Tamandua tetradactyla: one gene and its partners. The protein of the gene in region 2 interacts with the protein of the main gene of each other region in a pairwise test. Links are inferred from orthologs where the notes say so. Each region holds a gene or a part of one and is shown on either strand. Other genes may lie near its edges.

Region 1 (7,054 bases), on a different chromosome or scaffold from region 2:
GCTTTATTAACCCACCACCAGCAGAGGGGAGGGGGAGACAGCTGGGAATCACGCTGGGAGAACAGGGTCCTGACCAGGCCCTGGAGAGGTGAGGCCAGCGAGTGGGCAGCAGGCTGTGGCCGAGGATGCTCAGTTCTTGGAGTGCTGGCTCTGGCTGAAGCTGGACGAGCTCTGTTCCTTGAGGATGGGCCGGGTCTGGTGACCAGAGGAGGAAGACGAGGAGGAGAAGACGACTGTGGAAGAGAGGAGAGGGGTTGAGATGGGCACTGGCTGCTAAGCCAACTGTTAAGCCCACATAAACAGGCAGAGGCGCTCAAGTGCCCGGGAGCCTCGGAGCCTTACCATCACGGGAAGAGTACGACTGGCCAGAAGAGGACTGGGAGGAGGAGATGCTGCAGGAGGAAGGAAAGGCAGAGCAGTTAGTTATATGTGCTGGGAGCAGGGGGCCCTGCAGGGTCCATGGGGCAGGACTAGGGGCAGGGCACTCACTGGGCGTCCTCGCCCTCCAGCAGGCGGCGGTAGGTAGCGATCTCCTGCTCCAGACGGGTCTTCACGTCCAGCAGTATCTTGTACTCCTGGCTCTGCTGCTCCATCTCGCAGCGCAGCTGTGCCAGCTGCTCCTCCACGCTGCCGATCATATCCTGGATCTGGGCCAGCTGCATGCAGTAGCGGCCTTTGGTCTCCTCCAGGCTACTTTCCAAGGATGCTCTCTGCAAGATGGAGAGAAAGAGAGAAATGTGGTCACTCCCCTCCCTCCTGAGAGGTGCATGGATTTTGACCCCAGCTGGATAACTGATGGGACAGATACCAGGGAGCAACGTTTATTCCACCACTTTGGACCTCAGTTTTCCCACCTAGAAAATGTAACGAGGATCTCTCCTGTCCACTCTGGGGCAAGACAGTGAGGTAAAAAGGGAGAAGTGTTGAGAGGGTGGTGGCCATGACTGGTGATCTGGGGCTGGGCCAGGCCCTCCGTACCATGCTGAGCTGGGACTGCAGCTCGATCTCCAGGGCCTGGAACGCCCTCCGGAGCTCGGTCACCTCACTGCGGCCACTCTGTACCAGTTCACTGTTAGAGGCCACTTCTCTGTTCAGCTCCTCGGTCTGCGGAAAGCAAAGCAGAAAGTGTAAGTTGCTGCAGAGGCCTCTGCTGGCTGGGAAGTCCTGCAGGAGGGCTGAGGGGGCCAGACCCACCTTGCTCAGGAACCAGGCCTCAGCATCTCTGCGGTTCTTCTCTGCCAGCTGCTCGTACTGGTCACGCATCTTGTTCAGGATAGAGCTCAGGTCCATGCCGGGAGCTGCGTCCATCTCCACACTGACGTCCCCACCGGACTGACCCCGCAGGGCAAGCATATCCTAGGAAGGGGTAGCAAGAGGCGGTCAGCTCAGCAGATTCCTCTCCTGGTTCTAAGAGGATCTGGTGACTCCACCAAACCAGCCTCCCAACCCCAAGGCTGGCAATGGCCCACCTCCTCATGGCTCTTCTTCAGGTAGGCCAGCTCCTCCTTGAGGCTCTCGATCTGCATCTCCAGGTCACTTCTGGCCAGGGTCAGCTCGTCCAGCACCCTGCGCAGGCCGTTGAGGTCGGCCTCCACACCCTGGCGCAGGGCCAGCTCATGCTCGTACCTGGCAGGGCAGAAGGCAGCGCATCAGGCCCCATTCCTGAGGCCTCCGGCCGTCCCCGGTGGACAGCCCCACTCCTCTCCTCCCTGCCCTCAGCCCACCACCGTGGCTGCTCACTTGGTCCTGAAGTCATCGGCCGCCAGCCTGGCATTGTCGATCTGCAGAATGGGCTGAGCATTCTCGATGGTGGCCGTAATGATCTGGGGTGGGGGTGGAAGGAAGGGAGGCCTAGGTCAGCCAAGGACCTCAGGTAGGACGAAAGGAGCCTTCCCAAGCTGGGAGAAGCCTGGCTGGAAGATCAGGCCCCTCCCTCACCCGGCCACCCTAGAATGCCTTCACCACCCAGAATCACCCCTCATATTCCACCTCCCCCATCCTGAGCCTGAGGCTGAGGGAGGCTAAAGGTGCAATGCAAAGAACCCGCACAGGGAGTAAGAGACTCAGGGCTCCAGACCCAGCTCAGGCGCATAGATGCTAAAAGGAGACTCTCCGCCACCAATTCTCTGGGTGACCCTCGGCCACTGTCCAAAGTTGGGCCTCAGTTTCCCTGGTCGTAAAATAGAGATGCTAGAAAGAATCTAAGGACCACTGTGGCCCTGGCCTCACATTCCGCCCACCCGAGCCGCCCCCCAGCCCACCCACCTTGTTCCGCAGCTCCTCGATGGTCTTGAAGTAGGGGCTGTAGTCCCTGGTCTCACTGGGCCGCTGCCTCTGGTACCAGTCGCGGATCTTCACCTCCAGGTCGGCGTTGGCCTCCTCCAGGGCGCGCACCTTGTCCAGGTAGGAGGCCAGGCGGTCGTTGAGGTTCTGCATGGTGGTCTTCTCGTTGCCGGAGAGGAGGCCGCCATCATCACCGCCAAAGTCACCGAAGCCACCTCCAAAACCCCCTCCAAAGCCACCGCCGAAGCCGGCGCCCAGGCCACCTCCATATCCCCCACCAAAGCCACTACCCAGGGCTCTGCCAAAGCTGCTGCTGCTGCTGCTGAAGCCACCGCCATAGCCGCTGCCATAGCCGCCCCCCATCCCGCAGGCTCCCCCGGAGGAGAAGCGGGAGGAGACGGACAGGCCCCCATAGGTGCTGGGGGCCCGGTAGGATCCCCCAGCCAGCACAGAGGAGAGGCGGCTGGAGCCACCCCCGATGCCACCGCCGATGCCACAGGAGCCCTTCATGGAGCTGGAGGATGTGAACTGGCGGCTGCAGGTGGTCATGGTGTGAAGGTGAGTGAGCGAGCGAGCGAGTCGGCAGAGAGGAGAGGAAGGTGCTCAGGGAGGCCGGGAGTGACTGTGTGTGGCTGCCCAGGAACCAGGAACCTTTATATGCCACCTGGGCGAGGCGGTCCTCCCTCCCGTCTGCTGACACCAGGTTCTCCACCAGATTTCATCACTCCCGGCCCCGTCTAACTCCCCACTCTGGATCTCTCAGCCCCTGGTCTGCACTTTGGGTGTGCTGGCTCAGAATTCCCACCCAGCTCGGGGTGGGGAGGGGGGCGTGGGGCCGAGAGAAAAACACCCAAGCGCGGAGTCGTTAGTGACTCAGGCTGGGCGGCTGGGAACCCCGGCCCCGGTTCCTGGAGCCCGAGGGCCCCGCAGGGCCCCAGCCCAGGCGACTTTGTGGCGGCCGCGTCCCCGGGCTGTGAGTCAGCTCATTGGAAGGACTCCTTGCCCCACAGTGACAGCCTCGGCTGAAAGACACGTCAGCGATGCCATCCCAGGGCCTATCTCAGGATGTGGTTGTGGGGATCCCACATGCCCCACTCTGGGCAGCGGGCAGGAGGCTGGGCTCCTGGCCAAGGTCTGCTTCGCGTGCTGTGTGACCTGAGGCCCCTAACTTCCCCTCTCTGGACCCAGTAAAGTGACAAGTCTGGACACATTTCTAGTTCTAAAAATCCTGACTCTCTTTCCCCTATTGGATCCAATCCCAGAGTCCAATAGGGGATTACCTTTGAGTCCCCCAGATCCCAGAAACGGTGTGTATGTTGTAAACGGCACCCGTTTTGGAGCCAGACAGGTTGTGGTTTGAATCCTGTGATGTCCCTCACAAGCCCTTTTAGCCCCTCCAGGCCTCAGTTTTCTTATCTGTAAAAGGGGAGGACAGGCCACCAGCCCCAAAGGAGCATGCAGAAAGGGCCCCAGTGGCCAGGGCTCAGCAAGGCCCTGGTCCTTGCCCCTCAGCTTCCCCAGTTCCTGCCCGGCCAAGTTGCCACTTACCTGGCCTCCTCACCCCCACACAGCGCTCTGCCCTGTCCTCTCCACACCCCTCCCACCTGATGGACACCCCACCCAACACATGGCTCCCCCACTGCACTGCACTGCTCTGTGGACTCATCATGGGCACCCACTCATAGCCATGCTGGGGGGAGTCCATCCTTCCACCCCCGTGCAGCATGACCCCTGACCCCTCCATGGACCTCAGAGTTCCTCCTATCCAGAGACCAGTCCCAAACAGTTTCCTCGACATGTCCACAGACTCCAGGAAGGGCTTGCTGGCTCCATCCGTTCTATCAGGGAGCAGGGGAAGGGCACTAAGACTCCCTGGTCACCTGCCACGATCAGGTATGCCCAGGAATGTTCAACACATGCAACTGAGCTCTGTGAGTGGGGCAAAGATGCTGCTACCCATTCCACAGAGGAGCTGGGATGCGGGGAGGGCAGGTGGGTTTCCCAAGTCCCTCATGAAGAGCAGAGCTGAGATTGGGGCCCCATCTGTCTGTTCCCCCAACGCGGGCTCCTCCCAACATTATGCTCCACTCCATCATATTCTTGATCTGTGAACTAACCGTGGAAAGTGAGGAGGGTAGCGGAAGAACCAGAGAGAAGAAATGATTTGCCCAGTGTCATTCAGCTTTGAATGGCTGGCCCAGGGCTAGAACCCAAGCTCTGGCTCACTCAGCCCTGCCACGAAGCAGGGACCAGGTACGTCCAGTTCTCATCTATCTCCCCAGGGTGCCTGCAGCCCAGCTCTGTCCACCCTGGGCATGACCTTGGCCTGAGAGCCCAGCTGAGCACCAGGTGCTGGAGAAGGTCTGGACCCCAAAGGCATCTTCTACCCTTCCTCGGTGGGGGCTAGAGGAACCCAGAGAGGGCCTGCCTCGGCCTGGGCGATGCTGGACAGTACCGCCTCGAATCTTGGGGCAGGAAATTCTCTGTCTCAGCATGACCAGGCCTTGTTACTGCCACTTCTTGCCCTATCAGACACTTGTCCTGTAGGTCTGAGCAGGGCTGGATATCCCTCCAGCTCATGCCTTCGGAGCCTGGCCTAGGAGGAAGAACCCAATGCTCCCCTCTTCTGACCTCAAAATAGGTACTGGGAACCTGGAATCTTGGCCAAAGAATCCCACCGTCCAAGGTGTCAAGATGGGCTTGGAGTTTGGGTCCCTTTGCACACTCATCACCCCCAGAACCAGAAATTTCCTTCCAGGTCACCAAAGGTCACCAAGACCCAAGCAGAGAAACTGAAAACTTGCCCAAGTTTAAACAACACAGAAGCAGAGAGCAGAACCGTGAACCCACCTCCAGTTCCCAAATCAAGGGTCACAGACTGTCCTAGCAGAGTCCCAGGTTACTCTCCATTGTGTGCCCCACACATGCCCCTGCCTCCTCTCCACTCCACCCCAGCCATTCTAGAGGAGTCGGGGGCTCCTCGACAGGCCCAGGACTGAAAGTCTGGGGAGCTGTGTAAGCAGAGAAGCTGCGGGGAAGTCGCTCACCCCCTCATCAGAGTCAACCCCACAGCTCAGGCCCCACTAGGGACCCGACCCTGGGGTGAGAGGGGGGACTATGGCATAGTCCCCAACCTCTGAAGAACTCAGTCCTATAAATCCTCAGATTAAGGCTGAGAAATTCATCCCCATGTGGCAGGAAAAGAAGGTGCTAAATTGAGTGGCCCAAGCCTAGGCCCCTGGGGTGCAGGGCCCTCTTTGCCACACCCCCACCACGGGATGCCTCAGGGGTGCACCCTACTCCACTGCAAGCCTCAGCAGTAAGGAGGGGTGGCACAGCTAGCCCTGTCCCTCCAAGATCCTCTTCAGAAGGTGCCTGGAGCCATCAGGGGATGCTTCCTAGCAGAGGGGAATCTCCTGCTGAGCTTGGAAGGATATGAATTGTCAGAAGAGGAGAGGGAAAGCATGTCCAACCTGACAGCAATGCCTTCGTGCCCCCAAGATTGCCAACAGCTGGGAATCATTCATTCTAGTGGTGCCAGAGCACAACGTCCCCCCAAGCTTGCCTCCCTCCAGGCAGTGGGTCTGTCCCTCTCCCCACCCTGACTCCTGCCTCTTCCCTTCGCCCTACCCCATCTCAGGTATGAAGTCATCTAGCTGAGTTGGCCAGGAACATATCAGCCACGTGCCTCAACTTGCAGTGATTCCCAAACCTGGCTGATCGCCAGAATCCCCACGCTGATTCCCAGGCCCTGGCCCAGCCCACTGTATCAGCACCGCCAAGAATGAGTTGAGGCATGGGGATGTTTTACAAGCTCCACCAGGGGATTCTGATGACCAGGCAGGTTGGGAAGCAGGAGGCAGGCCAGGGTGCTGGAGGAAAGGGAGAACAGGAGGCCCCGACTGGCTGGGAGGAGACAGGCGCTGCTCGGGGCCTCCAGCTCCCCTGGTGGACAGGCTAGAGCCCAGACTTCAGGGCAGGATGAAGAAGGGGAAAAGGCCAGAGGGGGCAAGGACAGAGCTCCCTGTTGTCAGGGCCAGCAGAGACCAGGCTTGAGCAAGTTCAGGCCCGGGGAGCCTCGGTTTCCCCGTCTGGGAAACACGAGCAATAACACTGCTTCCCAGCGTGTAGGAGGGATTGAGGTGAAATGAGTAAGGTGCTGGCACAGCCCGGTGGCTCCCACTTCACCCACTCAGCAGGCATTTCGAGAGCACTTGCTATGTGCCAGGCTCTGTGCTAGGTGTGCTGATTCGGAGACCAGCACAGGGAAGCCCTCGGGTTCAGAGGGCCTGCAGGGAAACGGGGTGGGCTCCCTCGGGATGCAAAACATCCCCAGCCAGGCTCTGGCCTGTGACAGGTCCCAGGATCAGGAGGAGTCTGGGAGCGTCGGCTCTCCTTCAGGAGTCCTCTCCCTTCCCAGATGTCTGCGGCCCCCCTCCGGAGGGCAGAGGCTGTCATGGCCCCCCCACTGCACAAACCAGGGCCCCCGGGGGAGCCCGTGACCCAGCCAACACCTCCGCACTGTGAGCTGGGATGGCGCAAGAGGCCCACCCTGCAGAAGGGCTGTGGGGGCAGTGTCGGTCCCCCACGGGGCCTGCCCCCCACTCCCACAGGGCACACCAGACGAGGCGCCCTCGGGGCAGGCGCCGTCTCTCCCCCATCTCCTCCTTCCCTTACACTCAGGGCCGACCCAGGCACCGAGTGGACCCTGTGCCCAGGCACAGGTGTTCCCCACCACAGCCATCTCCCCCCAGGAAATGCCACCAGGTCA
Region 2 (8,015 bases):
GAGAAGCTGGAGGCCAAAGGGAGGTCTCACAGGCACAGATCAATACATGCTAAGCAATTACTGGCCGACTCTCTTCTTTGCAGCTTTGGTAAGTGGTTCAAGAATTACACTCTGAACACATGGTGCTTGGGGAAAGTCTATTCATGGGGAGGCTTGCTGGTGACTGAAAAACCTTCAGCAATAAGATCCTTTAGTTTGTCTCCTAAAAAGAGACCCCAAGCCAGGGGGGAATGGAGGTGTCCATCACCACCAGGGACCAGATTCTTCCCCCTTCCTGATCTGCTAAGGCCACGCAGCTCCTCCCAGTGTGGCTGCAGAGGTGCCGCGGGCTCCTGCAGATGCGACAACGCCCGGCAACTCCCTGCCCCTAGAAGTCATCTTCTTAGGGGAAAATGAGGCAGAAGTCCACCGTCTGCCCAGTCACCAACAAGGAGCGTGGGTCCAACCACAATTGGCTTAGACTAATCCGGATTCACCCCCAAACCATGTAGAGAGGGGTAGATACCCCATCCCAATGGTTGTTCAGCTTGAGCAAGGACATTGGGGGAACAGCTATTTGGTCACTGATGAGGGATGAGTGAATAAGTTAACATTTCCCAGCTCTTTCCTCTAGCACAGAAGGAAATAAACCCAGCCCTACTGAAGCAGGTGCCTACGTAGGAAATGATCAGTATGAAGGCAATTATAATACCAGTGAGTGTCATCCCTCAAGTTCTAATAAGGGGCCGAGCACTGCGTTAAGGCAGCTGTTAATAATAGTCACAAACCAGTACGAGTATCCCCATTTTTAACAGTTGAGAAAACTGAAGCTCAGAGATACGAAATAATTGTAGCTGGTCAGAGGCTTCATCCTTCACACCATGCTCTCCTTGAAAGATAATATAAATAGTGCTTTAGTTTGCTTTGGCTGCTCCAGCAAATACCATGCAATGGGGCGGCTTCAACAAAGGGGATTGAACGGCTCATGGTTTTGAGGTTAAGAGAAAGTCCAAACCAAGACATCATCAAGGCGATGCTTTCCTCCTGAAGACGGTGGCAACCTGGGTCTGGCTGCTGGTGATCCTTGGACCTGGGCTTCTCTGTCACTTGGCACATGGCGGCCTCTCCTGACCACTCCCTCCTCTTCTGGGTTCTGTGGACCTTCGGCTTCTTGCTTCCCACAGCTCTCTGTCTTTCTGAGTTTCGTTCTGCTCATACAGGATCCTGGTAATAGCACTCTCCTGGTGCGCGCCTTCCATGCGGGAACCCGAGTTCGATTCCCAGATCATGAACCCACCCCCTCCCACCAAAAACAGAAGACCCAGCCTGACTGAGTGGGGCCACACCCGAACTGAAGTAACCTCATCCAAAGGTCCTACTGACAATGGACTCACACCCACAGCGATGGATTAAACTTAAGAACATGCTTTTCTGGGGTCTATGGATACAAACCACCACAAATACCAAAAAGAAAAAGAAAAAGAAAGGTCAGTGCTGTTCCATCAGAGAAATATATTCCACCAGATGGAAGCAGACTGAGCTACTTGAGGGTTCTGAATAGAAGGTTCTGGAGCAGAAATCCATTTTCCAGCCTCCTCTGCACACAGGAGAAAAAGGCCTGTTAGAACAAGCTCTGATGAGCTCTCCCGATTTACAGAATGGAATCTGATGGGAGGTTGCATACCTGCAGGGCACCAGGGGCAGGCAAATTTCCTCAGGGGGACGCCCTCCACTGTGCTGCTTCTTATTAAAACACCAATACGGGCTGGTGTGATGGAGGCTCAGTGGCAGAGCTCTCGCCTGCCATGCTGGAGACCCGGGTGCCTGCCCATACAAAAAAACCAACCAAACAAACAAACAAAACTAATATGTGCTCATTTCAGAAAACACGTAAGTCAAAAGAAGAATCACAAATTAACCCGTAATTCAATACCTGCCAATGTAATAAGGCAAGAAAAATAAGTAAAAGCCATCCTCATTGGAAAGGAAGAAATAAAAGTGCCTCTTTTTCAGGCCACATAATTATTTATATGGAAAATACCAACGAATTGGAAGCAAAACTTCTAGAACTAATGAGTGTGTTTAGCAAGGTCTCAGAATAGAAGCTCTCTATAAAAAAATCAATTGTCTTTCTATATAATTGCAATGAACACTTGGAGTTTCTCCCTAAGCACTGGAAGTATTAGGCTGGGGAGGGGGTTGAGGTTTTGTTTTTTTTGGGGGGGGTAGTGCATGGTTCAGAATCAAACCTGGGTCTCCTGCATGGTAGGTTAGCATTCTACCACTGAGGGGGTGAGTTTTTTTTTTCTTTAGGTGACATAATCCTTTCTTACCACTTCCTTTATTGTCATGAAAATTTTGAAAAAAACCTTTCAATTAAAAAAATCAGCATCGTCCCATATTCAGAGATTTCTACCTAAGACACCCCTAAAACATGTCCTTGAAATCATCAAGATTTCTTTTGTAAATATTTTAATAACATCTCACAATTTCATGTATGACATATTATCATATCTTTACAACAGAATGAGGCAGATTACTAGGGCATTTTACAGGAGAAAAAAAAAACAGTAATTTTTACTTTATTTTAGAAGCTATTACTTCCTTCAATGTGAATCTGTCCTGGCACATAGTGGGTGATCAGTAAATATTTGTTGGATGAATGCCATTTAAGATATGATTGGATTTATGAGTTTGCAATTTTGCGCAGTTTTTCAAAATATTTGATTCTCTTTTGGCTCCCTCCAGTGCAGTCTTTTTGAGTAAAAGGATGGAAATCTATTTGCAGTGATTTATACAAGTAGATGTTTATTTGGAAAAAGTGAGTTAGAATTGGCCCCTTGAGCTGTTATCCACCCCTAAAATTATATAAATTATATATGTGATATATAAAATTATGTGATATCTTAACAAATTAATTGACTACATATTTCACTTTAAGCATAAAAAAATAATATTACAATGAAAAACTTATTTTAGGAGTTTTTTTTGGGAAAAAAGCCTTTAAGTCATTAAATTAAAACTTTAAACCAGGACAATAATAACATCATGGCTTTAGAATAAAATCTGGCATGTGAAATCTCTGTAGCAGGATCAGCCACACTCTTTAGTATTTGCTGAATGATACAAGCAATTATGAAAGGGAAAATAAAGCCATTAGTAATTGTATTGCTGCTGAGATTAATAATACTACCTTTTACAATAGCTAAAATATTACAACAAAAATACACATGAGAGCGCTCTAATCAGTCAAACGGAGAGGCATAAACATTTCTTACTAGGAATCAGACTTTCAAAATTTAAGTAAAAAACAGTACTATGGTTTTATAGATAGAAAAATTAAGGCCCAAAGAAACTGTGATTTATATGCTCCATTTGTAGATTAAGTAAATTGGGTATCAACATTTTTAAAAAGTTTGTACAGCAGTGAGGGGGGTGAGTTTTGACAGAGGCATGAGACCAGACCCTGGAATCAGACTGACCTGGGTTCAAATCCTGACTTAGCAGTCTATACGGCCAAGTGAGAACCCCCACTGGGAACAGAGGCTGAAAGCAATGGAGCCCAGGAGCAGGGACAACAGATGCCAGCCACATGACTTCCCAGCTAACAGAGGGGTTCCGGAAGGTAACACCCTATCTTTAGTGAATGTAACCTCTTATTGGTGGCTTTGTACATTTTCTCAGTCTTAGAACTGTAAACTTGTAACTTATTAAATTCCCTTTTTCTTTTTTCTTTTTGCATGGGCACGCACCAGAAATTGAACCTGGGTCTCTGGCATAGCAAGCGAGAATTCTGCCACTGAGCCACCATCGCACCACCCTAAATTCCCTTTTTAAAAGCCATTCAGGGCAGGCCATGGTGGCTCAGTGGCAGAGTTCTCACCTGCCATGCTGGAGACCCAGGTTTGATTCCTGGTGCCTGCCCATGCAGAAGGGAAAGAAAAAGAAAAAGCTGTTCAATTTCTGGTATGTTGCATTCAGGCAGTTTAACAAACTAATACAGGCCCCACTGTGTTGTGACTGAGCTGATCACAGCAGGTGGTTGCCTCTGTCCACTGGTGACATAATATGGTAGAGTGATCCTGAACTTGGCCAAGTGGGTACAGACCAATGCAGAGGCCAACCTTGGGGGAATCTTGTGCATGGGGCAGGGTACACAGCAAGTAAATGTCTGTGGGGTAGAGGAAATGTGAAAGAAATCCCCCCCAAGCCCCCCTGCCATGCCCCAAGCACTCTGTTCTGTTCATACCTTTACTGACTCCCCCAAGGACAACGCTAGAAGGTAGAACTCTCAACGATGAGGAAGATGAGGCACAGAGAGAGGAAGCAACCTGCCTGGACCCCCCAGCCAGCATGGTGTGCGTTGGCATTCTGACTGCAGAGACCATGCTCTTAAAACAGCGTCCAGGAAAGACAGAAATGAATAGAGGAATGGAAGAATGAAAGAAGGAAGTGAGGAAAAGAATGGAAAAATGAAAGAAAAGATGGAACAAATGCAAGAGTGGATATTTACTTTATTATCTTTTTAATGGAATGTTCGATGCATAAAAACTTGTAACTCATGTAATGAATGAACACTGAGAACCAACCACCAGTCTAAGACTACAATAGAAAATTATCAATAATTTGCATCTACTTAACGTTAGTGGTTCTCACCTTGGATGCATATTGAAGGCAACTGGGGAGCTTTGAAAAACAGGCTATCCAGGCCCCACCCTCAGAGAGTCAGATGTAATTTGTCTGGGGACTGGGATTTGAAGCGCTGCACAGCTGATTCTCATGTACTGCCCGGTTGGAGGAGCACTGGCTTATATTATCCTCCCCTATCCTAGCCCCCTGATTTCCTGCCACCCCAGGTAACCACTATCCTGAATTTTGTATGCTGAGTGGATTATTTTCCTCGCCCTTCCCTACTTCAAGAACCGACGAAGTTTGCTATTGATCTCCCTCCTACCACGAGGGGGCGCTAGAAAAAAGTACAGTCTCCTTTTTCTCCTTAGAGCGTTCAGTATTGCGCTGGAGGAAACTTGGTCCTCGCGGCGCGCCGTCTCCCGGCCCGTTGCCGGGACAACCAGCGGGGAAACGGTCGGCTTCAGTGCTAAGAGTTTCCGCCCGGCCTCTGGCATCTGCTCAGCCTGATCTGGCCTTGCGGGATCTAGCGGGCCTGGGGCTCCTCGGAAACTCCCAGGCGCGGAGAAACGTGAGTCTGGAGGCTGAGTTCTTTCGGGAGCCGGCGTTGGGGCTGGTACTCAGAGGCTCTGGCCGCGGTCGGCCGGGCGCTGGCGGAAAAGGGAGCGAGGACCCAGGGATACCGCCGCAGGGAGCCTGGAAACCTGGGCTCCGGTCCTCACTGTGGTACTAACGAGACATGGGGTCGAGGCCTCCCGGCCGTTTGCTCGATGTGGATGTTGAGGCTCAGAGAGGGAAACGGCTTTCTCGGGGAGCTGGATCTTAAATTTAGTGCAAAGATTTATCCACTGGCTTTTTTAAAAGGCAAGGGGAAAAAAGCATGTCAGGCCAGCCAAAGTCTCAAAACAGAGGTCGCAGGCCTGTAGGCCGAATTGGACGCATAGATGTAGATTATTTGTCTGCAGCTTCTGAAGGACTTTGAGTTTGAGACTCTTGGCGCGGTGCCAGACCCATGTGCTTATTCAAGAGACCTTCCTCAAGCACTACCATAGCCAGGGACTGTGTAGATTTTGTACCTGAGGACAGCTGTGGGCTGGGGGAAGGTTGTCCTGGCTACAGTGAGACTGCTTGCTTTTTTAGTCTAGCTGTGTCCCCAGATTGCCCCGCAACCCCTGACAAGTCACTTCCTCTCTCTCAGAGGAAGTTTCTTCAACTGTAAGATAAGGGATCTGCCCTCCGTGGGGGCCCAGAAGACTTCTAGGTGTGACTCCTTGCCTGGCCTCTCGCCTGCGGCTGCTAGAACCAGGGCATATTTGTCCCAACAGGGAGCCTTTTGCAGTAGACAGACCCGGGGCTCTGGACTCAGACCTATCTGAATTAGAATCCCAGGTCTTTTATTTCCTCTCCTTTCTGGCTGTGTGAGCCTTGGCAAGGTGCTTCACCTCTTTGAACTTGTTTCCTCATCTGCCAAATAATGGGGTGGTGGTAAGAATGAGAAGGGTTATACATGTGACAGATGCTGGGTACATACAAATGTTCCTTAAATTACTGTCCCTGTTAGTTTATGAAGAGTACAGAAGTCCCCAATATGCCAAATCTAGCATTGCTGGGACTGGTCCCCTGTCTCTGTCCTCAGTGCCTCTGATAACACCTGGCCCACATCTGGGTACATCCTGGTTTTATTAAATCAGTGATTTGCAGCCCGGGTGGCAGATCATTTTTAAAATGCCAATGCCTAGGCCCCATTCTAAGATTTTCTGAGAAGGTGAGGCCTAGGTATGGGTATTTTTAAAGACTCCACGGAGTAATTCCAATATACAGACAGGGGTGAAGACCACTGAGTAAAAGGATGCCAGCCTTGTACAGGTTCCTGGGGTTTGCAGTTGGAGCATATTCTTACCGTTGCTGTTCTCAGATGGCACTGCCCACGCTGCCCTCCTACTGGTGCAGCCGGAGGCTTCTGGATCAGCAGTTAGCACGCCAGCGAGAGCAGGAGGCCCGGCTTCGGCAGCAGTGGGATCAGAATAGTCGCTACTTCAGGATGTCTGACATCTGCAGCTCTAAACAGGCAGAATGGAGCTCTAAGTCCTCTTACCAGCGGAGGTAATTGCGCGGTGACTGCCAGCTGGGTGGAAGTGGGGGGCCACTCTGGCTGGTCATAGGACGTGGTGGAAGGACATGTGGCTTGACTACATATTTTCTTGAGGGGTTTGCTGAACAGCATAGATTACCTGCATAGTGGTGATTTTTTTTTTCCAACTGGAAATTAAAGAAAAAATCATATGTAAAGTTACACATTAAAAAAAAGATAAAACAATATAGAAGTATATGAAGTGGCGCCTAGAAGTCTCTTTGTAATACCGCCTCCCCAGAGAGAACAGTTGGGTACATATCCTCCCATACTTTTTCCCATTTGTGTTTGTGTATAAATAGACCCCCCACACACACACATCCATCCATTGTTATAGAAATACATGTTAGTCCAAAGCATAGGCTTTGGATTCAGACAGATCTGTATAGAAATCCTGACTGTGTCACTTACTATATGAATAAGGCTCAGTTTCCCAAGCAGTAAAGTAGGCTAAAATGGAACCTTCTTTAGGATTTATGCTATGATTAATATAAAACTATCCATATAAAGATACATGTATAGCTTAGTCCTTGGCTTGTGGTAATTGCTCAAAAAATATTACCTATACGTTATCACATGCATAACAGTATTTGTTTATGGATACAAAATTCTGTTTTGCATCCTGTCCTATAATCTGCTCTCTCCACTTTGGTTGGGTGGCACCTATCTGTGTCACCACGGTATGTCCACCTTTGGTCTTTCGCAGAGCCTCTGCTGTAGTCTGAGTGGTTTATTGTGGGATCCTTCTCACCCAGCATGCATGCTTATCAGCGGGAGAAGTTGAAGGAGGAGAAAAGGAGGAGTCTGGAGGCCAGACGTGAGAGGCTCAGGCAGCTTCTGCTTGAGGAGCAGAACCTGCTGGCCAAAGAACTGGAGGACCTGAGCACAGACCTACGGGAAAGAAGAATCCGGGAGCGGCATGGGAATCTGAAATCAGCCCGAGAAGAGCAAAGGAAACTGGTAACGTCCCATAGACCTTCAGAAGGTTCAAGAGCAGGAGCATCCCCGGCCTGTCAGTGTTGTATACGTGGGATCACCCCTGGGCACTCTGATCTGATGGTGGTCGATGCCAGAGACAGCTGGGAAAAGTGCTAACTCTAAGTCTTTGTTCAGGTAGTGTGTTTTGCACACACAAGTCATTACATCCGAGTCCTTTTACTTTATTCCAGTTCTGTGGTTCCACAAAGGTCTGAGCATGGTATATTTTATCTTCCAAAGTAGTCGTTTGGAACAGTGAGCTCCAACGTGTGTTTTTAAGCCTGCTATACCTTTTGAA
Region 3 (7,943 bases), on a different chromosome or scaffold from region 2:
GAAAACTTTCCCAAGGTGTCACATTTGAGCTAAGATATGAAGAAATATTTAAAAATCAACAAGGCATAATTCTAAATTCTGAGATACTGAGCTGTTTGTATATAACATGGTCTTTCCCAGAAACTTTGGGTATTTATGTGACACCTGAGACTCAGAGTTAGAGCTCTGGAGCTATGAAAGTCAGTAGTACCCCATACAGGAACTGTTTAAAAAGTTGGAAAAGTGATTAGACATCAAGTAGAGATATGAATGAAGCTTATTTGGAATAGGACTAAGGTATAACAGAAGACTGGGTAAAGGACGATATCATCCATGTTTTAAAACTTCAACTTTTGTGTGAGACTCAAGGGAGAGATATTTATTTGGTGCAAAATTTATATTTTGGGTTGTGCAATTCCTAATTTAAATTGTTTGGTCAGTTTAGTTAACATCATAAGTACATGGAATCTTGAAAAGGGCATGCAATCTTGTTGATTTCTCTAGGTTAGTGTGATGCCCTGATAAACCACAGAGAGATTTGGACAGTGAACAAAGAAGTACTTGCAAAGTCCCCTTGGGGGAATGGAGAGAAAGGGGACAAAAATTCAACCTCCCCATTTGGAGATTCTCTGATATTCTAGCTAGCAGTGGGGACAACCAAATCAATAGGCCAAGCCTTCGATCCTGGGGGTCACCCCTATGAAACTATTCCTGCAAAGGATAAGCTAATACTACCTAACATTAGGCCTAAGAGTCACTCCCAGAGAACCTCTTTTATTGCTCAGATGTGGCCTCTCTCTCTCTCTCTAAGCCAACATGGCAATGAACTAATTGCCCTACCCCTCTACGTGGGAAATGACTTCCAGGGGTGTAAATCTCCCTGGCAACATGGGACAGAAATACTGGAATGAGAAAAAACTTCTTGACCGAAAGGGAGAAGAGAAAAGTGAGACAAAATAAAATGTCAGTGGCTGAGAGATTTCAAACAGAGTCTAGAGGTTATTCTTACACATTATATAGCTATCCCCTTTTTAGTTTATGGTATATTGGAGTGGCTGGAGGGTAGTACCTGAAGCTGTAGAACTGTTCCAGTAGCCTTGTTTCTTAAAGATGATTGAATAATGATATAATATTTACAATGTGACTGTGTGATTGTGAAAACTTTGTGTCTGATGCTCCTTTTATCAAGGGTATGGACAGATGAGTAAAAAATATGGATAGGGCGGGCCGCGGTGGCTCAGCGGGCAAAGTGCTTGCCTGCTATGCCGGAGGACCTCGGTTCGATTCCCGGCCCCAGCCCATGTAACGAAAACGGAGAAACAAAATACAATAAAACAAGAAAATGTTTAAAAGAGGTTTCCCTTTCTTCCTCTCTTCCTTCCTTCTATCCTTCCTTCCTTCTCTCTGTCTTTCCTTTAAAAAAAAAAAAAAAAAAAGAAAAAAAAATATGGATAAAAAAGAAACAAATAATAGGAGAAACAAAGGTTAAAATCAATTGGGTAGATGGAAATACTAGAGGTCAATGAGAGGGAGGGGTGAGGAGTATGGTATGTATGAGTTTTTCCTTTTTTATTTCTTTTTCTGGAGTGATACAAATGTTCAAAAAAATGATCATGGTGATGAATACATAACTATGTGATGATATTGTGAGCCACTGATTGTTCACCATGTATGGAATGTTTCTACGTTAAGAATGTTTGCATGTTTGTATGTTGTTTTATAAATAAAAATATTTTTTGAAAAAAAGAGGCAGAGAAGGAAAGGAAGAGCCTTCCAGGTATGAGAAAGCGCCTGGACGGTGACCAACCACGACAGCTGTAGGGGAAGAAGGTCAATGTGTCTAGGCCCTGTCCCTAGACAAATGCATCTAACATTTTACAAAAAATTCATCTGGAGGTCCATCCACAGACCCCAGTATTTCCATTCTCTCATATAATGTTGGTGGGAGAGCAAAACAGCATAGAGGGGGAATACTGGCAATAGTCAGAGCAATTACATAAGTGTTTACCCTTTGACCCAGCAATCTCACCTCTGGGATCCTATCGCAAAGATACATTCACAAAAATGTGAAATGACAGATGCACAAAGTTAACTTGCACCATTATTTAAAACAAAGACCGGAAACTATCAAATGTTTACCAGTAGGGGATTGGTAGCAACACAAGGAATTATATTATACAGATGTAAAACATTAGGAAACTCTCTAAGATAGGACTATTTTAGACAACGGGACTATTGTGACATGCAAAAGTGTTTACAGTATGTCATCTTTTGTATAGGAAACAGGAATGAGAAAGGAACGTGTTTGTGTCCATATACTTAGTCTTAAAACCTAAGGGAGGAGGCGTGCGACAGTGGCTCAGTGGCAGAATTCTCACTTGCCATGCGGGAGACCTAGGTTCGTTTTCCCCGTGCCTGCCCATGCAAGAAAAAACAAAATAAAATAAAATAAGGGAGGAGCCTTTGGTCTAAGTGTGGGCCCAAGTCCCACCAGCAGTGAGACCTGGGCAGGCTCAACTCGCTTGGCAAACGTTTCCCGTGCGCAAAATGGCCACAGTATCCATCAACCAAGGTTGTTGTAAGGCATGTTATTTTTCAAATACACCAAATGCCACATCTTGACTCAACTGAAGAAAGTCCCTTCCCACAGAAACAGCTGTCTCAAGTCCAGCGACGCTGCCACAAGAGACAGAAGATGACCCCCGGATCACGCTCGGGGTTTAGCCAAGTGGGAAGGGAGATGCGGGTAGCAACGCCAGATTTAGTAAATATCTGTCAATCCTCGCCCCGGGGCGCTTTGGCTCGGTTTCCAACAACCCCCGGGTCGCAAAAGGGGCCAGGTGCGACGCGGCTCACCACTGACGAGCTCTACGCCACTCGTAAAACCCAACTGCCAGCGCCGCCTGTCTCACTCGAACCCTGGGAAGCAACATGTGCGACACTCCAAAACTGCGCCTGCGTTCTCCGTGCTCGCGCCCGGTGCAGACCGACGCCCAAGCGCAATCTCGAGTCGCGTCCCGTCGCTAAGGAACGAATTCACGCACGCGCCTTAGGTGCCGGAGGAGGCCGGGGGCAGAGAGGAAGGGGCGCGAGAGGGTGAGCCGAGAGCGCGCGCGAGGGCTAGGGGGCGCGCGGCAAGGAGGAGTGCGCGCGACGCAGGGTGAGCAGCGCGCCCTCGACTCAGGTGTCAGCCGAGGTGCCCGGCAAAAGAGGAGGGACCTGGCAGCTGGGTGAGCAAAACACGGGCGTGAGGGGAGGAGAGCGCGAGGGTGGGAGGGCCGCGGGGAAGCACTGGAGAGGGTGGAGAGCGCGTGGCCGAGAGGCGCGGATGCAAGCCGCGATGGCCAGAGGCTTAGAGGTAGGGAGGAAGAGGCGGCCAAGACAAGTGCCCAGGTAGCGAGCGGACCTTCACTGCCAGAGAAGAACGAGCGGCGGATTCGCCGGAGGGTCAGTGAAGTGCAAGGAGGTCCCGAGGTCCCCTGGGCCAGAGGTCATTGCAAACTCGATGGCTCAATGGCCTTAGGTCTCAGTACCTTTGCACTTCCCGGCCACCTCCGTTTGGCTCCTTTCACAAGCGGCTCAGGCAGAGGCAAATCCCGGCCCTCCTGGTCCTGCCCCTTGCCAGAAGGTACAAAGAGGACCGTGTGAGCAGACTCTAGGGGAGCACATTTTTTTGGCGCCTCCCTTTCCAGGCCTCACCCGGTGGCTGTCATTCTTCTGGCTCTACTGTTTTTGCAACAGTCTTAGTAACCGGAAGGTTATTGGGATCATGTTGAAAATGTGCAATGTTGAGCAGGTGCTTTTTCCTTATAGGGTTTGCCTCACCTAGGCAGGGAGGCCGCTGACCAATGACTGGGGAGTGGAGAGGCTTCTTAGAAATGCAGAACTAGTGATTCTGCCCTCTGGGAAGATTGTGCCTACAAATCACCTGGGGATCTTATTAAAGTATGGATTCTGAATCTGTAGGTCTGGGTGAAACTTGAACATCTGTATTTCAGTGAGTGATGCAGTTCTGCTGGTTCTCAGATGACACTTGGAGTAAACGAGGTGTAGGAGATTGTTCATCCAGGCGCCTTGGTCCAGGTGGGCCACAGACTGGCAGAGGGGGACACCAACCTGCCCTGTCTCCACCTTCCACATTACCAAAACTTAGTGGCTTAAAGCACACACATGTATTCTCTTCCAGAGCTGGAGGTCTGAAGGCCCAGGTGAATCTTACAGGGTAAAAACGAGGGGGTGGACAGGGCTTGGTTTTTAATGGGGGCTCTGTGGGAGAATCCATTTCCTTTGCCAGCTTCTGGCATTTCTTTCCTGCCCCCTCCTCCCCCAAATTCCTTGGCTCATAGCCAGATATTGCATAGCGTTTTTTCCCCTCTGCCTCCATATTTACATTTCCTTCTTCCTTCTGTCTGAAGGAAGGAAGGAATTTCTATTTCATTCCTCTTACCAGATCCTTGAAATTACATTGAGCCCACCTGGGTGATCCAGGGTTAGCTTCCCATCTCAAGGTCCCTAACATAATCATAACTGCAAAGTCCTTTTGCCTTATAAAGTAACATATTCACAAGTTTCAGGTATTAGTGTGTGCACATTGTTGGTGGGCTATTATTCAGTCTACCACACTGTATTTTTCTTAAGAAAAAAGACATTCTCTTCTTTATTCTTATTTCAGTGAACAAAAGTGGGAAATTTAACCTAGACGCAATTCTGTTATCTAATCTAAAATTCATATTCACATGTATCCAATTTTTTTTAAAAATGTCCTTTGTAGAATTCATTTTTTTGGTCCACATCCAATTCATGATCATGTGTTGTTATTCCTGTTTAGTCTCCTTTAAGCTGCAATGGCTCTTCATCTTTTTTTTGTCTTCATATTTTTAAGAGTGCAGCTCAGTTATAGACTGTTTCTCAATTTGGTTTTGTTTGGTGTTTCCTCCATTAAATTCTTCCATTTATGGGCAGGAATCCACCAAAATGTATTATGTACCTTTCAGGACATCACTTCAGGAGGGCTGTGATGCCAGTTTGTCCCTTTTTGGTGATATATAATTCAATACTTCGATCCCTGGGTTAAGGTTGTGTCGATCAGGTTTCACCACTATAAACTTTCTACATTTCCATTTGGAATTATTTCTTCATCTGAAAAGAGGAGCTTTAACACTATTGAAATAGCTTATTTCTTATCGAATATTCGCCGAGTTTTGGCACCCACTGAAATTCTGATTTGATTCATGTACACTGTGATGGTTATGAAATAGTGATTTTAACTCCATTATTCTTTCCACATTTATTAATTGGTGTTCTGCTTTAAGGAAGACCTTTCCCTTCTTCCCCATTCATTCATTCACTACTTATTCTCAAATGGATTCTTATTTTGTTCAGTGAGTTATAATCCATTGCCATTATTATTTATTTTAATGGTCAAATTCACCTAGATTTGACTGGTTAGAACTGCTTCCTGCTGGCTTCTGTGTTTCCAACCATTTTATTTTTAGCATGTTCTTACTATTTGGCACAGCAAAATATTTCAGACTCATTGGATCCTTCTTGCCCAAGCCTTGGAAATCAGCTATTTCTCCAAAGAGCCCAAATTCCTTTTAAGTAAGAAGATGATTTAAATACAAAAGCTGGGTACTAGGAGTGCTTATTGGTGCTAGTTTTTTGCTACTAGGCCCTTGCAGTGGAGAAAGTTAGGAAGTATATTTCTTTACTACATCCATATCTTTCCATCTTTAATCTGAAAAATGAACAACAAAACCAGCATTGACAGTTTTATACAAGACAAAAAAACACCTCCAAAAAACATTAGGACTGGATCTAAGCCTGTAATATTTACTGTGCTTTTTTGGAGTTAAAATATGTACATTTCAGGAATTTGAGTTAGGAACAGATTAGGAGCTAGGCCAGTTCTTGTCACAATCTCCCACTGTAATAGGTAATATTTATTAAATGCTACATGCCAAGCGCTGTGCTAAGTGCCTTTCATTTATTATCTCTTCTAATCCTCACAATTATGGGGTACATATTTATGTTATTTCTGTTATAGATAAGAAAACTGAGGCTCAGAGAGGCTGAGTGACTTGCTAGAGAGATCACACAGCTGGTAAGTGGCAGAACCGGAACTGGAATTTGGTCTGTTTGAATCTGCAGCCTGCATTCATACTGCTACCCTAACGTTACCATGCCATTCTGCTACTGGTGATCCTAAGAGATGATACAATTTGGGCTATACTGCCTCCAGCTCTAGGACTCTGATTAATAATAAATCCAGGGTCATCAACCCAATCTAAGCAATAGGAAGTGGAATATTGTGTTGTATACAAGCAGGATGCCTGTCCCCCAGTGGCGGTGGTGCTTGTTCATTTTCCCTCCTTTTCCTCCCCAAGGCTTCTTATGGGTTTCCTGTAAAATAAATAAATTTGTTTTATCTATTTCGTAAATAACCATGAGCGCCAACCTCACAATACCATAACTCGCTGGGTGCTCAGAGCCCCTCCCAGGGGATTTCCTGCATGGTCAGTTATGTCCTCCTTGCCAAGGGTAGACGTGTGGGAGTAAGTGGAGGCTTGCTGAATACTTAAGCACCAATCTAACCACCTGATGACCCCCAGGACCTATTTCTGGCTTAGGACAACTGGAGGATGTAAGAACAGTTGGCAATAATGTATTTGGGTTTTTTTTTTTTTGAGAGAGAGAGAATGAATTCAGAAATATCTCATATTTATCCTGAAATGAATCTGAATTGGTTAGAATATGTACATTTAAAAAAATCAGATTGGATGTCTAAAATAATATGACTCTGCCTTCATGTTTCCCAGACCCCCAGGATGGAAACTGACTACCTAAAGAGGTGCTTTGGAAATTGCCTAGCCCAGGCACTGGCTGAGGTGGCTAAGGTTCGGCCCAGCGACCCAATAGAGTACCTGGCTCACTGGCTTTATCATTATAGGAAAACCTCCAAGGCAAAAGAAGAGGTGTGTATATATACTGGGTCTTCATTGGGAGGGGCTTTCTAGCTTTCTCCAAAGTAATTCTGGAGCTGGCCTGGAGAGTTTCTTGGTTTATTCAACATGCAAAGATTGTTTGGGGCCTGTAATAGTTAAGTTTAGGTGTCAACCTGGCCAGGTGATGGTGCCAGTTGTCTGGTCAGGCAAGCACTGGCCTTACCACTACTGCAAGGATATTTCTTGACTGGTTAATAAGCCAGAAGTCTGTATTATTAAATCATCGGTAAGTGTTAAGGTAGGAAGGAGGAACTCAGCATGGAGTATACATAGACCACAACAGATGAGCACCAGGAAATCCACAAATCACCCAGCCACAACACAGAGCACATTGAGGCTCCTAGTAGCCTACCTTTTCCTCCATATTCAAATTTTTAAATATTCATCAATCTTAGTGACAATCCCCATCTATGGAAAAAGAAATTTTAAAAGGCAATTCATCTTGAATATTAGGAAATGCCTTTGGTGTTACTAGTTTAAAAACTCAGATTTTTAAAAAATCTAATACTTCACCTGGAACAAATGTATTTTCATACAAGTTCCTTTGAGCCCTTTTCAAAAATTACTCAGTATTTTTCAAAAACAAAATAATGGCTGTTGTTAGTATATACCTCAGGTATATTATAATATTTTATTATTTGCAATTTACTTATGCATCAGCCACAGACACCTCCTCTATTTTGCTATAATAGTGGACATAAAAACTTGTAATAATTGGAACAACTGTGGATACATCAGTCAGACAAGCATATCTTTTATCTCCCACAATTTTTGCTACAATCTCCTGAACAATGATTTCTGTCATTTTATGCATCCTGCACAAGGAACAATAATACCTGAATACAGAACTGACTTAGTGGCAATGTTAGACCTGATTTCTAATACCTTTTAAAATACTCACTATATCCTGTGCATTAAAATCTTTGGTGCAGTGTGTACAATTCACTAGCTTTGGTGTAA

Evidence for each region.
Region 1: the proteins of TCHP (region 2) and keratin, type I cytoskeletal 16-like interact in binary tests that used the Homo sapiens proteins (3 or more experiments, as listed by UniProt). The link is inferred for Tamandua tetradactyla from reciprocal best matches to the Homo sapiens genes TCHP and KRT16.
Region 3: the proteins of TCHP (region 2) and DYDC1 interact in binary tests that used the Homo sapiens proteins (3 or more experiments, as listed by UniProt). The two-hybrid records come from large-scale screens. The link is inferred for Tamandua tetradactyla from reciprocal best matches to the Homo sapiens genes TCHP and DYDC1.

What each region holds. Positions count from the first base shown.
Region 1 is NC_135332.1:25,571,466-25,578,519, reverse strand, and holds the start of keratin, type I cytoskeletal 16-like, read right to left. Parts: upstream 3,007-7,054; 5' UTR 2,833-3,006; coding exon 2,266-2,832; intron 1,824-2,265; coding exon 1,741-1,823; intron 1,627-1,740; coding exon 1,470-1,626; intron 1,357-1,469; coding exon 1,195-1,356; intron 1,105-1,194; coding exon 979-1,104; intron 711-978; coding exon 490-710; intron 393-489; coding exon 343-392; intron 234-342; coding exon 130-233; 3' UTR 1-129. UniProt on the Homo sapiens protein: Epidermis-specific type I keratin that plays a key role in skin. Acts as a regulator of innate immunity in response to skin barrier breach: required for some inflammatory checkpoint for the skin barrier maintenance.
Region 2 is NC_135331.1:21,553,559-21,561,573, reverse strand, and holds the start of TCHP (trichoplein keratin filament-binding protein), read left to right. Parts: upstream 1-5,006; 5' UTR 5,007-5,179; intron 5,180-6,523; coding exon 6,524-6,711; intron 6,712-7,445; exon of another isoform or gene 7,446-7,494; coding exon 7,495-7,699; intron 7,700-8,015. UniProt on the Homo sapiens protein: Tumor suppressor which has the ability to inhibit cell growth and be pro-apoptotic during cell stress. Inhibits cell growth in bladder and prostate cancer cells by a down-regulation of HSPB1 by inhibiting its phosphorylation.
Region 3 is NC_135339.1:15,513,421-15,521,363, reverse strand, and holds the start of DYDC1 (DPY30 domain-containing protein 1), read right to left. Parts: upstream 3,007-7,943; 5' UTR 2,836-3,006; intron 1-2,835. UniProt on the Homo sapiens protein: Functions as part of axonemal radial spoke complexes that play an important part in the motility of sperm and cilia. Plays a crucial role during acrosome biogenesis.